Xenopus tropicalis: one gene and its partner. The protein of the gene in region 2 binds, or shares a complex with, the protein of the main gene of each other region. Links are inferred from orthologs where the notes say so. Each region holds a gene or a part of one and is shown on either strand. Other genes may lie near its edges.

The links.
Region 1: nemf (region 2) and tcf25 share a complex: the UniProt entries of both Homo sapiens proteins name them as parts of the ribosome quality control complex. The link is inferred for Xenopus tropicalis from reciprocal best matches to the Homo sapiens genes NEMF and TCF25.

What each region holds. Positions count from the first base shown.
Region 1 is NC_030680.2:59,796,617-59,805,014, forward strand, and holds the start of tcf25 (transcription factor 25), read right to left. Parts: upstream 4,432-8,398; 5' UTR 4,372-4,431; coding exon 4,177-4,371; intron 2,551-4,176; coding exon 2,416-2,550; intron 2,289-2,415; coding exon 2,214-2,288; intron 1-2,213. UniProt on the Homo sapiens protein: Component of the ribosome quality control complex (RQC), a ribosome-associated complex that mediates ubiquitination and extraction of incompletely synthesized nascent chains for proteasomal degradation.
Region 2 is NC_030684.2:93,089,441-93,097,247, reverse strand, and holds part of nemf (nuclear export mediator factor NEMF), read right to left. Parts: coding exon 7,761-7,807; intron 7,219-7,760; coding exon 7,116-7,218; intron 5,223-7,115; coding exon 5,097-5,222; intron 4,621-5,096; coding exon 4,472-4,620; intron 3,935-4,471; coding exon 3,867-3,934; intron 3,774-3,866; coding exon 3,687-3,773; intron 3,602-3,686; coding exon 3,528-3,601; intron 2,772-3,527; coding exon 2,701-2,771; intron 1,904-2,700; coding exon 1,828-1,903; intron 1,557-1,827; coding exon 1,494-1,556; intron 960-1,493; coding exon 882-959; intron 337-881; coding exon 128-336; intron 1-127. UniProt on the Homo sapiens protein: Key component of the ribosome quality control complex (RQC), a ribosome-associated complex that mediates the extraction of incompletely synthesized nascent chains from stalled ribosomes as well as their ubiquitin-mediated proteasomal degradation.

The DNA.
Region 1 (8,398 bases), on a different chromosome or scaffold from region 2:
AGACAGGTTTCAGTTTCCTATCAGGTCAGCCTAGGTGCTGATTGGTTCCTATCCTACAGTGCAGTGTGCGGAGTGCTGCCAGCTCCCCTGCACATCCAGAGTTCAGTCAGCAGGAAGTGGAACAGATTGGCAGGACTAGTTAGGTTTTTCATTACAAATATATATTCATAGTTGGTAAATTAAATGCATCTGTTTAACCCCCTCAATGAAGTCCCCTTATGTCTTTTACTCTCATTGTTAAAGCAGCCATCAGCACTGGAAGGTGCAGTGTAGTAAATGAGCTATTCTGACAGAGGGTGTTTTAATTCTATTTCAGTGTCTCACCTCAGATGAGGGGTTTATGAAAACAGGAAAGCAACACTTTCTGAAAGCTTACAGCAACATGGCCTTTTGTGGGAAGAAGCAAATAAAATATTGAGGGGAAGTTAGGAACCCCTGCAGCCACTTAGCTGTGTGAGTAACAAAGCAATGTGGTGGAAGCAAAGGCATATGGCTTACAAAAATGCTGGGCATCCTGTGGGACACTATCTCCAGATTGGAGGCATTTTAATAAATGGGCTAAAGAGACATTTGCCCATGACAGATGGGCTAATATCAGACTTTTCATCTGGTACAACCTTCAACAGAAGCATTCTCTAGAGATGGCAGACTGTAATCAAGTGAAACTCTACAGAGTGGTCATTTTGACTTATTTGCATTTTTTCTTAAGTCACTTATGTCATAGCTACTTGTTAATTTAACTAAGCATGGGCTACTTCTTCACTGCATGCCTTATTATATTGAATTTCACCTGCTTGAGGGTACAAATTTCTTGTGAGAGTGATCACACTAATGAGATCTTTACTTTTTAAACCAAACTGATTTAATATGCACCATATTACGCATTGTTTTTAAACAAATAAAAACACTCTCTCTCTTTAAAGGTACACAAATGCAAAGCAAGCAAGACTGTATTTTTTTATCATTTTCTTACTATGTTCCCTATTTGTGAAGCTAGCTATAGCTTATGGCACACCAAGTACTTTGACCTACAAGATGCTCCCTGGGTGAGACACAGAGATCAAAATACCTGTCTCAGCCCACAGTAATTTTCTAGTAAGCTTGGCTCACACATAAAATTGGTCTGTAAAGGCAATGGCTCATGGGAAGTTTTGTCTCCAACAATTAAAATTTGCTACCATTGGTGACAAATCTCCCGAAAAGTGCAATTACCTTTGGCAACATTTGAATTGCCGCAAGTATATTACATAACTGACAGCGATTCAGGAAAAGATCCTATTTATATATATATATATATATATATGACAGATAATAAAGTGCAATGTAAACATTATAAGTTGAAACAAAAACCAGCTCCACTCTTACCCTGTCTGCCCAGGCCCAAAGTTGCCTCCATCACTCCTCGTATCCAAGGATAACTAAATTGTCACATTTATTTAAGGAATATTTCTAAAAATGACCATGAATATGGCTACCAAACTCATTGATCTCACCAACCATTTCTGCCCCTTGCAGGTCCTAACACCAGTCTCTGCTACTAAATCTCTGCTACTAAATGCTACTAAAACTTAATCTACTATGCTTGAAATGTCCCCACCCTAATGTATCTCCAAGTATTCACCAAACCATTATGCTTTTTTAATTATCTGCATTGCTCTAACTGGCAGAGCCCTCTTTTTCTCCTGCATTTGTCAGTATCTGTCTGTACATTTACTATACAGCGCAGAAAGTTGGGTAGTCTAAGAACTTTAGGTGGCCACACACGTGGCAATTTTCGATCTTTCGTGCGACATCGTTCCAATCGGCCACTGACGTTCAGGGCTGAAACGGCAGATATGGAGGCAGAAACAATAGGATTTCTACCTCCTTCTGCCGATTCAGCAGAAGGCAGATTTTGCTCAGACGTCTTCTATGGCGCCCGATCAAAATCTTTTAAACCACCCGATTGGCGAGTCGACCGATATCAGCAGCCTCCTGCGATATCGGTTGCCTCGCCGACTTGCCATACACGCGTGTATGGCCAGCTTTACTAGTCAAATTCCGCCTCATTTACATTTCCCTTTTTTGTTTGCTCTTCCATTAGGACACAAACAACAAAGTGGATGGTCTCTAATTAAAAGCAAGTATGCTATCCCTCTTATCACTGCTTTGCCAAATGTGCTCTTCTGTTATGGAAAACATAACATCATGGGCATGAGCTGATGATATGTTACCTGGTTCTCTGAAATAGTGCATTTCTTTGATTTCTTCTTTTTTTTCTTCTTCTTTGGTTTGTTGCTTGGAGCAGCCTATTCAGGTACAGAAATGGCAGGTAAATATGCTACAGAAAAAAAAAACAAATTCCTAATAAAAGCAGCCGGTTGGCTGATAAATACTCCCATATTCTAAGTAACTCCTCTACTATTATTTCCTCACCTGGTTCAAAGCAGGATCTTCAGTGGCATCTTGGTCCGTCTTACAAGTATTTGTCTCTTTCTCCTCATTAAGCCTAGGATTTGTGACATGCTTGATGTTTGAATCACTCCGAGCATCACAATCATGGTCAATTATCTACAGACATAAACCAAAAAGCAGATATGACAAGTGGTTCAAGGACTAGATTGCTAAACTTTATAATGCTCCAAATAACACAAGCTGACAGATCAGTTGGTACCAATGGCCTGAGTCTCCAACAGACCCTGAAGGTCCTCATTCTTATCAGACCCAACTGTCCCTTAGGCTAATGCCACACAGAGTGATAAATCTCTGCTACCATGGGTGACTAATCTTCCCAAAATGCCTTTCCACTGGCAACCAAGAGAATCTCCAGTGGAAAGGCCTACACATCGTGGCGCGAAGTTTCCAGCTGCAGGTAACTTCTGAAGAACTAAGCAATGTGTAGGTCTTTCCACCAGCGATTTTCTTTGTTGCCAGTGTAAAGATTTTATCGCCCTTTATAAATCTCTGCTACCGTGGGCTACTAATCTCCCCATGGGACATTAGCCTTACTTTCAGAAGTATTTTTATCCAAACACAGCTGATTGCACGGAAAGGAAAAGGCAGGATGGTAACTTTTAGTACGCAGAGTGGGTGGTGTGAAGTCCTCTTGAGAAAAGATAAAGGAATTTAGATTCGCAGAAAGCATCACTTTCACTTAAAACATGGTAAGGGGGGGTCCTAACAGCCTCTGTGGGGTGGGGATATGGTCCCTTTGAATCAGAGGCAGGGTATTTCTTGCCTAAATGTACATAGGTTGGATATTCCTCTGTTGAATGGTCCCTAGATTCTTCCTCAGTGCTGCTCTTGAATGTTGACAATTTTCATGAATATCCCAGCTCAGGCTAAGCAGCCATCAGCTAGTGTTTGCAAACAGGCCATTATACACAGGACTGAGCAGGTGCAGGATGCATTCTTCACTTCATATTAAATATAAGTATTATATAGTATTATTCTAGGGCAATTTGCAATTAGTCTTCAGTTGGTATGGCTTTTAAAATATTTATTTCTGTTCAGCAGCTCTGAGCCTTGGCATTTCAGCTGTTATCTAGTTTCTAGGACTTATTTACACTAGTAACCAGACAACAGTTTGGAAGTCAGAATGGTAGACAAATAAGAGATGGCCTAAAAACTAAAACCGAACCATCTGAACATTAATGCTAATAAGGACAGAAATACTGGGCTGAAATGCTATATACCACTCTATACCATACATAAATTTCATTTGCAGGTAAACTTTCCCTTTGTTTCCTAATGTTATGCCAAGATAATAAACACTTATCTAAGATCTATGGTTCATAGAGCACTTTACTGTAGGGAGAACATTAGCCTATCTCTCCACTGAATTATAATGTAATTGTACCAGAGAGTGTATGCAGAACTCCCCCCCCCCCAGCTGGGCTTATATAAAACTCACTTGGCCCAAACAGGCCAGGGAAACCGAGCCAGAAGCTATAAGTCAGAGCTGCGGTTGACAAGCAATACACCAGAGGGCTGCAGTTACTGCACCTGTAGGGTAGGTGTCACTGGTGGTTCTCACTACTGAGAGGATGTAGCCAGCTGATTACTAGTTGTTCCTAACCAACAGTACTGCACCTATCACTGCTTGGTCTAATTCATGTTCCCTTATGGCCGGTTCTGGCTCTGTACTAATCTCACATATAGGTCCCGGTGTCCCTGGATTTGCCTTCCCCCACTCACCAGCTGGAAGGGGTTATTTAGGCCCCGCTCCTCCAAGAGTTTCCGGTTTCCACGTGCTTTACGGCTTCGCGGTTCCGGGAGCTTTGGTGCTTCTTCTTCCTCATCGTCTTTTTCATTTTCGTCTCCTCCAAGGGCCCCGGGCTCCTCCTGTCCTCTCTGCTCTCCTCTCAGCCTCCTCAAGGCCCGACGGGACATGGCACCTAAACAAACTCACAGGGCAGAAGCCCAGGAAGGATTTGCAGCCAGGCGCATGCGCTCAGGGTCATTAGCGGCTCGTAGCGTGTAATGCCTATACATGACAGCCTGGGGGCGCTACTGTAACATCTCATTCAGTAAATCCAAATAAAAGACGGCGTTATTCAGCAGCTAGCTCATGCTGTTTGGCTCCTTTAGTAACTGCTGATCTTTGTCTCCCAGCATGCCCTGTGAGGCCAGGCTCAGGCTATCTGCATTAAGGGGCTGCGGGGAGATGAAACGTTCTGACAGAAGATTATACATGCTAGACAAGGGGTATCCCTGGGATGTATGACACATGGGGGGAGATTTATTAAGACATAAATGCTCGGAGCGTTCGAGCGTATTTTTGACGATTTTTTCACGCTTGCACGACTTTTTTCATATGCTTGCGTGAATTTGGAAAGGTTCTGTCGCTGTTTACAATCGTTCGGTATGAAAATTTAGTGACTTTCGGATCGTCAATACGATATTATCGTGACTAATACGATTTTTTCGTAAAAATTTTTGTAATATTTGCAATCTATCAGAAATTATCGTGTCCAATCCAAATTTTTCCCATTCGAACTCGTGTTTTTATGAATCGGCCCCAAAATATGCAAGTGTTTTTGTAATGGTTTCAGCCAGTACTAATTCTAAATGTGTGCACTCATTCAGATACATAGAGGTATGTAGTCTTACATGAAATTTAAGAAACATGTTCAATTGATAATATGGGGACAAGTATGTTCAAAATGTCATCTGAAATTAACAGGAGCAGGAGCTCATTCAATTGCATCAGGTGCATTATTATTATTATTCTTACAGTGCATATTATCATAACTTTCATATGGACCATTTCTATATGCTCTTTAGAATAATTCAATCCCTCCCAAACCTAATTTTATTGTTAAATGATGGATACTGGCACTTTAGTATGACAAAAACTACATTTTCCATCTAGACTGGATAGAAACCTTGTACAGTAAATAAAAACATACCCCAAAAATCTTTGACACATGGCTCACTAACATTACCTCCCCTCAACCAATCAAATACTTAACAATACTTGGTTTTCAATACACCACTTGGTACAGTGCTGAAATACTCCAAGGCAAACCACGAAGCGGAACAGGCATTTTCGTGTTCAAACCTCCCAAGGCAACCTTAAACATATGCAACTGCCAGGAGTCACCTGACAGATTATTAACAAACTATTTGGAATGATTGGCATGTACTAAAATCCTATAGCTACATCATTAAAACCAAAATTCTATAATCACCTCCCCACCACTGTGAGAAGTTAATTTAGGATTGTTTTGGATACATTTTACAAGATTATTTGTTTCATTATTTCCACTCTCTTCTTCTTCTATCTATTGAACAACCAATGTTACTTTATCTCAAGAGCTTTGTTTATTTTAAAACTTAAATAAAGACAATTCATAGAAAAAAAAATGGAAGTCCCTCTGTTTTTCATATTGGGTGGTGCTCAGATTCTCCATATAGACTGCAGATTGGTACACAGCAGGAGCTCAAACTGTTATCTAGAAAGCTCTGAATTGTGGGATGCTCATTTAAAAATGATTTCTTTTTTCCCTGTAATAGTAAAATAGCATCTTGTACTTGATCCAAACTAAGCTGTATGAATCCATATTGGCAAAACAAACCTAATGGGTTTATTTAAGGAATATGCAAACTTTTAAAATAAGTAAATGTAAATTGACAAGAATGCTATCCTAAAAACTTTTGCAATTTGCATTCTTTTAGGACTTTTAGGTAAGGGAATGACTGGTTATTGGGCCACACAGCAACATCTCTGGGTCCCTAAACTCTGGAGAGAGAACATTTTCCATGAACAAATATTCCAGCTGCTTATCAGTCCCATGAAGCCCCCTAGAGTTCCTGGGTCCCCCAGCAGTTGCAAAATATGTTTTGTCTATTGTTACACACCTGTTTTCCTGCAAAATGATTGTATTATAGTAGCTGTGGCTAAAAAATTAAATAAGTCAAGTTCAACCTTATGACCTAACAAAACCTATCCACCTACTAGCTGGTCATTTGTGTAGCACACAAAAAGTGCATGACCAAAACTGTTGGTTATAATAACCTACTCATGACATTAAAAACTGACTGTTAATAAACAGAATAGATTTTTCTTTCCTTTGCTGATCAAGAAGTACCTTGTTCTGCAGTGTTCCCTGATAGATCAGAAAATCACTGTAACATTATTATCCCAATCCTTGGTGAAATCTCTGAATTTCCCATGCAATCTGGGGCAGGTGTAACCCACTTACACACACATATATCCATCAGCTGTATAGGTAGGACACACATAACCTAACAGAATTTTCCAAACTCTGGTGTGGGGCAACAGGGCCAGAAGTAGGGGCAGGCAGGAGAGGTATATGCCTAGGGTGCAATGGTGAGGGGATGCTGGGCTAGTACTTCTGCCTACATTTCCATAGCTCTGGTGTTTCAGTAACTCTTGTGCCACTAAATTTCCTTTCTCACTGCAGGGGGATTCAGTGTGGGGAGTGACACGTTGTTGAGTGGGAGGGTGAGGGATTACCCAAAAAATCTGCCACAATCAAAGGTAGAGATAGTGAATGTTCCTTCTTTTATACATACAAGTAGTCAACCAACACCAGTGGGCTCTCTTACCCAACCAAAAAGAGAATCAACCGGCAACAGAGGAGGCACATATTTCATTTATGGATGGATTTCTGCTACTCCACTCCAAGGTCCTTTTTCATTATGGTTTTGCCAAGTGCAGTCCCATTAAGGGTTTAAGTGGCATCCCAGGTGCATGACCTTACATTTATCTACATTAAATCTGCATCTACCACTTAGCTGCCCAGGTTGCCAGCATCCCTATTGTGTATGGACGTGGTTTTGTGCATGGGGGAATTATTCTGCTCAAACTGCTCCACAAAGAAGAAGGCATGGAATTGTCAGGAATGTCATTTTACCATTTAGCCTTCACTGGAACCAGTGACCCAAACCATGGAAATAGCCCCAGCCTATTATTCCATATGGTATATGTAGACAGTGTACATGGAATTGTATGCAAGAGCAATGCCTGTTGGGTGTGAGACTGTTTTCCTAAGTTTGCGAAACAGTTAAGGATAAAAACATCATTAACTGTGAATACTGCTATCAACTGAAATTGGAAAAAGAAAAAAGTTAGAAGCAGTTAAAGAAAAAAAGGCAGAAGTTATTAGCTAATTAAAAGGTTATTCATGAAAAACAATGTCCGGGTTAATAATCTGCTATATCATAGTGCAGAAAAGCAGTGCAAATTCTATAGAACCCCTGCAAAGTCACATAATAGTTTGCCATCAAACTGGGCTTAAAGGACACATTGGCATCTCCACTGGTATTGGCTGAAGTTTTGCAAAAACAAGTGATTGCTTAAATTGCTTGAATATAAAAATTGCCCAGAAGATGGCAGTGAAAAAACACAATACACTGCTCCAAACCTTCATGGCCATACATGTGCTTGAAAATGTACACCCCAAGAGTATAAAAATGCAGTCAATGTTCTGATAATAGACATCTCAGTGCTAGAAGAAATGTTATATTTTAATGTTTAAAATGTATGGCTTATTATGCACAAACCATCTGACTATAGGCCTGTTAGTCGGACATCAGTGGTAGGAAAGCTTTTGGATGGGTTAATAAGGGATAGGGTACTTAAATACACTGCAAATCACAATACTATAGGGTTGATTCACTAAGGTGCCTTAAAACGAGCGCTATTTATATCATGAGTTAAAATTTTTGGCGCGTCTTATTTTTCGCTACTTAACAGGCGATTCACTAAAAGGATACTTGTGTTAATTTAGACGCGATGCTGTTTGCACTATTTAAGTCGTGAAGACTATTCTGTGCGCAATGCGCGCTAATTAACGTGCGCACGCTACTTTTCGTGCGCGTGCTAATTAACACACGTGTGCTACTTGTCGCACATCTGCTTAATATTAATGTAATACAATGTTTTCTACAA
Region 2 (7,807 bases):
TGAACACAAAGCTGTATTAAAAGTATTCAAATATTTTTAGCACTTAACAAGTCCTAAGTTATGCAGAGTTACATTGCTTATATACATTCATATACATGCATTTTTGAAATGTTTCCCTTACACTCACTTAAGCAGCATGGTAATGTGGTTTGTTTGCAGCTTCAGTTCTTTGATTGCAAGAGCAACTGAATCTCCTTGGATCTGTGCCTCTTTTACTATGAGTCCAATCTCCTTCCAGTCAATCTGATTGGCCAAAGCACTGCGTACTACCTGAATAGCTCGGTCTACAATATCCAAGTTCATTTCAATCAGCTCTCCTTTGGCTTTATCAGCATCCTTACGGAGACAAGAATAAATATTTGTAGTAAGGCAGATCATATCATTAAATCTGACCAAGCTGGCATTTTACTGGCCTGTGTATAGTGCCAGCCATCAGGCCCAAGGGTCAAATGATCGGATTAGCCTGATATTGCCCACCTCAAGGTGGGCATATAGATGACCTCTTAAAACAAGCAGCAAGGTGGCCAAACATGTAAAGTGTGTAACACATTTGAGAAAGTCATACATGCAGTGTAGACACTCTATAGCTTCTGTAAGTCACAGCCACACCAGCGTCGTTTAAGAAAATATCCAATATCTGAAGAAATGTACTGAGGAGCAGAGAAGTGAAGGCTTTGAAAGTTAGCAAAAGTATTTTGTATGCTATCCTTTGCTTAACAGGCAGCCATGATATTAGGATTTTACTTGGGGCTGAACTGGTTCCCTTTTAGGAGAGAGCAGGAGGATCCGAGCAGAAGAATTTAAGATTGTAGTGCTACGTAAGCAAAATAACATACATATACTGCAAGCCATAATTCAGGGTATGTGAGAGGTTAGAATACCTGTGCATGCTGGAGTGATTCCAAGCGTTCCTCATGATCTTTCCGGACATTTTCTAATTTCTTTAAGGCTTGCTTTTCCTAAATGAAAAGTTCAGTATTAAGAATCTCTGATAAAATAAATGTAAATTAAAGGGAAAATATACCTCCCTACCTCCACTTTCTGATATGAATCCATTCAGTTGGCCTTATGTAGAAAAGGTGTTTAAACACTATCGGAGCTTCCAGAAATAAAGATAACTTTTTTGTTTTGAAAAAACATGATAGTCTGTGTTTACTGGGATCATTGTGAAGTAATAGATTCTGGCACTAATCTCTCTAGTTCCCATAGTGAGGGGTGCACACATGTGTCATGTACAGAGAATACATGACTTTACATTGGAATAGGGTGAGGGAGGGTTGGGATCAGTCTGCTAGCCTAGGTGTGGGGAGGAAGCTGGTTATGGCAGCACAGACTGTCCTTTCAAACTCTGGAATTAGGCATGACTGTGTAAAAAACAAAAAACACTTGAGTTCAAAAAGCTTTATGTCAAAAAATGTGGGTATATTTTCCCTTTAAGATAAAAATGACTAAGCAAAAATAGCATCTACTTGCTACTAAATATTGTGAAGCACCTGTTGCAGAGCCTTTAGATCAATCCTCTGGCCTTCCATCTTTGAAAAAAACTCATCAACAGCCTAAAACATTGGAAAAACACAATAAGATTACATAGTTGGGGGGCACAGCATAACTAGCACGAAGTACCTTAGGGGGGAAAGTAATGTATTTTATAATTTAATGCCATCTATTTAAAAAAAAAAAAATGAAAGACAGAATCATCTCTAGTTATTTGGATGTGAATCTGCCCCATCAAGCTGTAAAATCTACAGATTCATATAAAACCCCCAAATAGCTTTTGTTTTATATAAATGGGGTGTAACTATAATAATCCATGATCACGGAACCCACCTTATTGAAGGAATCTAATTCAATATAAGTGTTGTTGCAATGCTGTGCAAATAGAAAAGGATGGAATTCTTCATTCCTTAAACACAGACAAAAAGTTCCAGGTTAAAAACTGTAGTAAAAAATGCAAATAATTATAAAAAAAAGTAAATCATAGTTTTGTTGCAATAGTGATTTCAAGCTCTGCAGTTACATGACAAAACACTTAACACTGCCTCTCATATATTTATGCTTTGAAAGTCTGGACCCATGCAGTGCACTAGCAGGTAAGAGTATGTCTTTTCAAAACTGACTCCCAATCCAATTCTGTGCATCTTGATGCTCACCCAGTAATGGCAGACATCATAGATTTGCCACATAGCTATGCCTGACTTACCTGGCCTTGTTCTGTAAAAAAGAAAAAAAATAGGGTGCGGGTAATACACTCAAGGTGTTCTGCCAAATAATCCTGGACATTACACCCTAGTAGTAATTCACTACCTGTGCTCAACTGGTTCCAGGAACTTCTCACCTAACTAAACCCAAGCAAGACAGCATGCTGAAAAAAGGGCACTTTACACATTGTAAACAACTTCAATAACTTTATGTTCAGAAAAGATGACATTTTAACCCAAACTGTTTCAGTGGTTTAGGACAATTTTGTTTAACTATTATATAACTCCAATATGAAATGAGAAATTATTTTTAAATAAACAGAGAAAAGACAATACAGCTGCATCCCATAACCCTATGAAGGAACAAATTATACACAGAGAAGATGTGAAAATATGTGCTAAAAATGTATGCATGAACCACTCAAGTGAGGGCTTGGGAAGTCCCTGCTAATGGCTGTCTTACATCCTCAAATTCTTTATGATATATTTAAAGGCTACTCACGTGAATATATCTTCAGAGGGTTTGTCAGGCTCCAAGCTTGGCTTTTTCTCTCTTTTCTGAATTATAAAACCCTGTGGATTTCGAGGGAATAACATGTTATACTGAATGCAAGATAAAGGGCAACACAGTGCATAGGGACTGTTTATATGCCCCTGCATTTTGTAGGCAGGAGGAGAGAAGAGGATCCACGTTCATCCACAGCTCCATGCAGCTGCACTGACAGATGTGTCAGTCTAATGTGTTGCCTTCAGAGGAAACTTCCGCGATTTCGATGTATGCCATCCCACCGACGATTTACATTCAAGCCGGTGGGATGGCATATCGGGGAGATTAGTCGCCCACGACAAGGGAGATTTGTTGCGGGTGACTAATCTCCCCATCTGCCACGGCCCTTAAAGTTACCAGGAGTGGCTTTTTGCCGCCCCTGGTAACTTATGAGATGCTGTCATCTGAGGCGATTTTCATGACTCGCCTCATAGCAGCAGCGACCCTGAGTACTAAGAGCACACATACATGTTAGGCCAATTAACGGACAAAGTCTTTTACTCCCACACGTCTTCTATAATAAGAGATACATTATCTTTGGTCATGTTATCTCTGAGGGAGCACACAGCCCATCACTAAATGGTGGCTCAAGGGAAAAGATGTAAAAGGGCAATATTTACTTTTATATATATATATTCCAGTTTGGTAAGATTCTTTAATAGGTCACTTAATATGATATAAACTATACATTGGTTAAGTATTCATTCTGGGGGTATAGCTTTCCTTAAATCTTGTGCTGGCTCTGATATTCACTACAAAGGGCTAATTAAACAACATCCTACCTTCCCTTTAAAGTGCTGTGTTACATCCATGTATTCCTCTGCCTTTCTTAGTGCAGTATGCACCTTCTCCAAATCTTAAAATTAGAGAAAAGGCAGTTCAGTTTTACTACTATAGATTTAAAACTTAAAAGTAAAATTGTTAATAGCCGCTGCACTGACCTTCAGGTCCAGAAATCTGGTCAACCTTGACATTGCTGGAAAGTCCTGTATCTAACAGGCAATGCTCAATCAGAGTAGCACCATAAGCTACACAGAGATAAGAACACACGTTACTTTCCATACACTGCATATCGTCAATAATAATTATGTTACAAAAAACAAAAAAAAAAAAAAACTTACGGAGATGTGGATTAAGAACTCTTTTCAACTGATCACCCTTCTGTGCTTTCTCTAGGATTTCCTTTAGTCTAGAAACAAAACAAGTGTGCCCGTAATTGTACAGAAAATATGGTGAATAGGAATACTGATGTATAGAGAAACTCTCCAGGCACCATTGCATTAAGTCCTGCAGAGTCAGGATTCCCCTTGTTGACCAATTTAGAATCTAAACTAAACAAATGTTTTTCCACAGAGGTGTATTGCCAGATATATGCAATTTGACGAATTTACCCATCTTAACTGCCTCTTGTCATGCATGAAGAAGAGACTCTATTGTCACTGGTAAGGACCAGACTCCATAAAACCCTCAATATGGGCACACTCTGAGCACCTCTTGTATTCCCACCAGCTGAGCTTGATCAATGGCTCCTCTATTGCAAATAAAACCATTAATGTATTTGTGAGAGATTTTTATACAAAAAAATTATACTGTAAGGTACTGGATTCGAATTCAGCCACATTAGTCTTTAATAGGCTAACTCTGACAAACTAAAAAAGGAATATTTATGCATACCACACTAAAAATGGTTACCCACACAACAAGAAAATTAAGCAAAAGAATTTACTTTTCCACACTGAGTAGCGGTTCAGGAGCTTTGGCATGATCTATAGGATAATGTTCTCGAACTGCAAATTTTACATCATCTGCCTCATCTGTTCGAAACCTTAGGATGTTTAAAATTAGATATTCATGGTCTGTAAGGACAATGTTGCCCTGGAAAGACATTAAGGAAACATTAAGGAAAAGTCTGCATAGGTGTACATATAAAATGATCCCTTAAATAAATTAAGCAAAGGATAAGAAATTGGGTGCAGATAGTTTTGGATCTTAAGGTATTGGGCATAATGCTGATGTTTTAGTTTAAACCTTTTTTAAGGGGAACTTAGCACCATGACACAGAACCAAATAGAAAAGAACATTAGTGAATCTATACTTTAAAGTAAAAATAGTGATGCTAAATCATTAAACACAGTAGCACATAGTAACCCCATGCACAGATTTATTTATTTTTTTACAGAAAGCTACCTGTGTGGCTTATACCCAATGCTTCATTGATACAAGAGATTGGTTTCACTGTCTCTTGGCATTTTTACTTTGAGCACAATAATACAGCCAGAGACCACACAGCAATGCACACAGCTATGCACATTTGACGGTTACTGACAAAGCCCAAATGTACACTTGCTTACCCGATCATACAGCTCCACAATGAGATGATAGGCAGCTTCATCTGAACCAAACTGGAAATCCACAATCCTGTCCACACCTAGCTGTTTAATGCTTACCAGCCTCCTAGACTTTAAATGCTTACGGCACTGTGGACAATAAGAAGCAAAGATCTGATGCTATGGTTTTCAAAAACAGAATGTAGTAATAAGTATTTATTTTCTGCACAATTCTGAATGAAAACACAGACCAACTTACCCCCTACTGCCTAGAAGTCTGGTGCTTTCCTGGTACATTTAAGGGCTCTGGCACACGGGGTGATTAGTCGCCCGCGACAAATCTCCCTGTTCGCGGGCGGCTAATCTCCCCAAAATGCCATCCCACCGGCAATTTACATTTTCGCCGGTGGGATGGCATTTCAGGGAGATTAGTCGCCCGTGAACAGGGAGATTTGTCACGGGCGACTAATCTCCCCATGTGCCAGAGCCCTAAGGCTCCCTGTTCGCGGGCGACTAATCTCCCCGAATTGCCATCAGTTGCCATCCCACCGGCGAAAATGTAAGTAGCTGGTGGGATGGCAGACGCGGCAGCACGATTTCGGCAAATCGCCGAAAATGCCTCGCGAGGCAACTTCGGCGATTTGCCGAAATCATCTGCGCAGTGTGTGCCATCCCACCGGCGACTTACATTTTTGCCGGTGGGATGGCAACTCGGGCGATTAGTTGCCCGCGAACAGGGAGATTTGTCACAGGCGACTAATCTCCCCGTGTGCCAGAGCCCTAAAACGTGAGCTTTTTTAAATTGCTTTCATGTGTTTATTTTTTCACCTTCTCATGTCTCCCGGGACCAGCTCTATGAGGGGGGTCGCTGCACTGATTCTCTAAACTGTACATGCGTTGATACATTTCTTATCATTTCTTATGGCCCTGCTGAGTATAATCCCTGAGTTTCATTAAAGGCATATTGGATACAATGGTTGATAACATTGAACAGCTGCAGCTAAGAAATGTAAATCGCCAGTAGGATGGCATTCCTGTCAAGGCAAATTAATCTCCCCTCTGCCATGGCCCTAATGTAGCAAATTGTAACAGTTCAGAGGCAGCACCTGGATAACTGAGCTGCCAGACTGAAGCACAAGAAAGAGGAATTTTAAACTTTAAATTTAAAAAACAGTAACCAAAAGTAACCGAAAAAAGGCTTTATTTTTGGTGTAATGTCTGAAAACATCTGAACTGAGAAAAGTTTTTAGAAGGTGTAGGGATGGAAGGCTGTCACAGCAGCTTTATACACTGAAAGGCAATGGCAAATGTTTAATGAATGTATATTCCACTTACGTAAATTTTTATTAGTTTAATGCTGCTTTTAAAAGCAGCTGTATAGGTTAAACTAGAGAGTTAGTGGGTCTTTAAAGGAGAAGGAAAGGCAAAGTCACTTGGGGGTGCCAAAATGTTAGGCACCCCCAAGTCACTTAAATCGCCTACCTTGTACCCCGGGCTGGTGCCCCTGTTCGGGGTAGCTGCAGCGCTTCCTCCTTCCTGTTCGCTCGTGCGCGCATGCGCAAAAGAGTGAAAAGCTGAACTTTAACAGAGAAGTCGGCTTTTCACTCTACTGTGCATGCGCCTGTCGTGTAGTCCTTGCAAAACGAAGCCGGAAGGAGGAAGCGCATCGCTACAGGTACCCCGGGCTGGTGCTGTTTTCTCCTAACAGGGGCACCAGCCCGGGGTACAAGGTAAGCGATTAAAGTCACTTGGGGGAGCCTAACATTTTGGCACCCCCAAGTGACTTAGCCTTTCTTTGTCCTTTAATACACCTTTTCAGTTTTGAGTTTTCCACTAATCACATGAATGTGCCTAGACTGGCACAGATACAAATATTATTGATAAACAGGACCATGCAAAGAGCTATAAAAAAAAAACAATGGCAAGGTTGGAGATCCATAGACAGAAAAGGCCACTAGCTCTAGGAGAAAAAAAGCATGGAGGGGTTGCCAGCAAGAAAAAAATATCAATTATACATTTCAAATGGTTCTTTCTTTCACTAACCTTCATTGCAAATCCGGACGGCATCATATTCTTGGGCCACTCAAATTCTGTAGTGTGAATTCTAATCCCTGATTCAACTAGTAGTACGGCTTTTGAGTCTGGCCTGTTAATGAAGAGTTGATAATATTCTAATATTTAGCGATAAAAAGAATACTGTATTAAAAGCTGAAACCTTTGCTACAGGTCTAGGCACCCAATCAGCAGGTAGCATTTATTGGTCACGTTTGTTTTCTGTGGGTGACTGGGCAAATTTACTGCCTTCAATTACATCCATAATTATTCTCAAGCAATGCATATCCATTACATCGAATTCCTTTCATGAAATAAGACTGGAGATGTCACACTGAAAGGTACATGGAATGGGGATCTCCAATATGTGGCCTGCCTGCTACATTGCACAGCATCTCTCTATAATGAACAGCTATGAACAGCTACTGGGTTATAGAATAGGGAACGTGCAAGTGAAGCTATGGCAGCCTATTGAAATTTATTAAGGCAAAGAGTATAAAACTATGCAGCATATCACAGATGCTTAGAAAGGGACTCCATCCTTCTGTTTCATTTGCTGTTTCATTTGCATGAGCACAGTTTAATATAACAAAATTCCCAAACTTAATTTCCACATAATAACGAGCAGAATCTTACTTCTGAAGCCGGATGAGATATGTCTTATTGTCCACATCATACACATT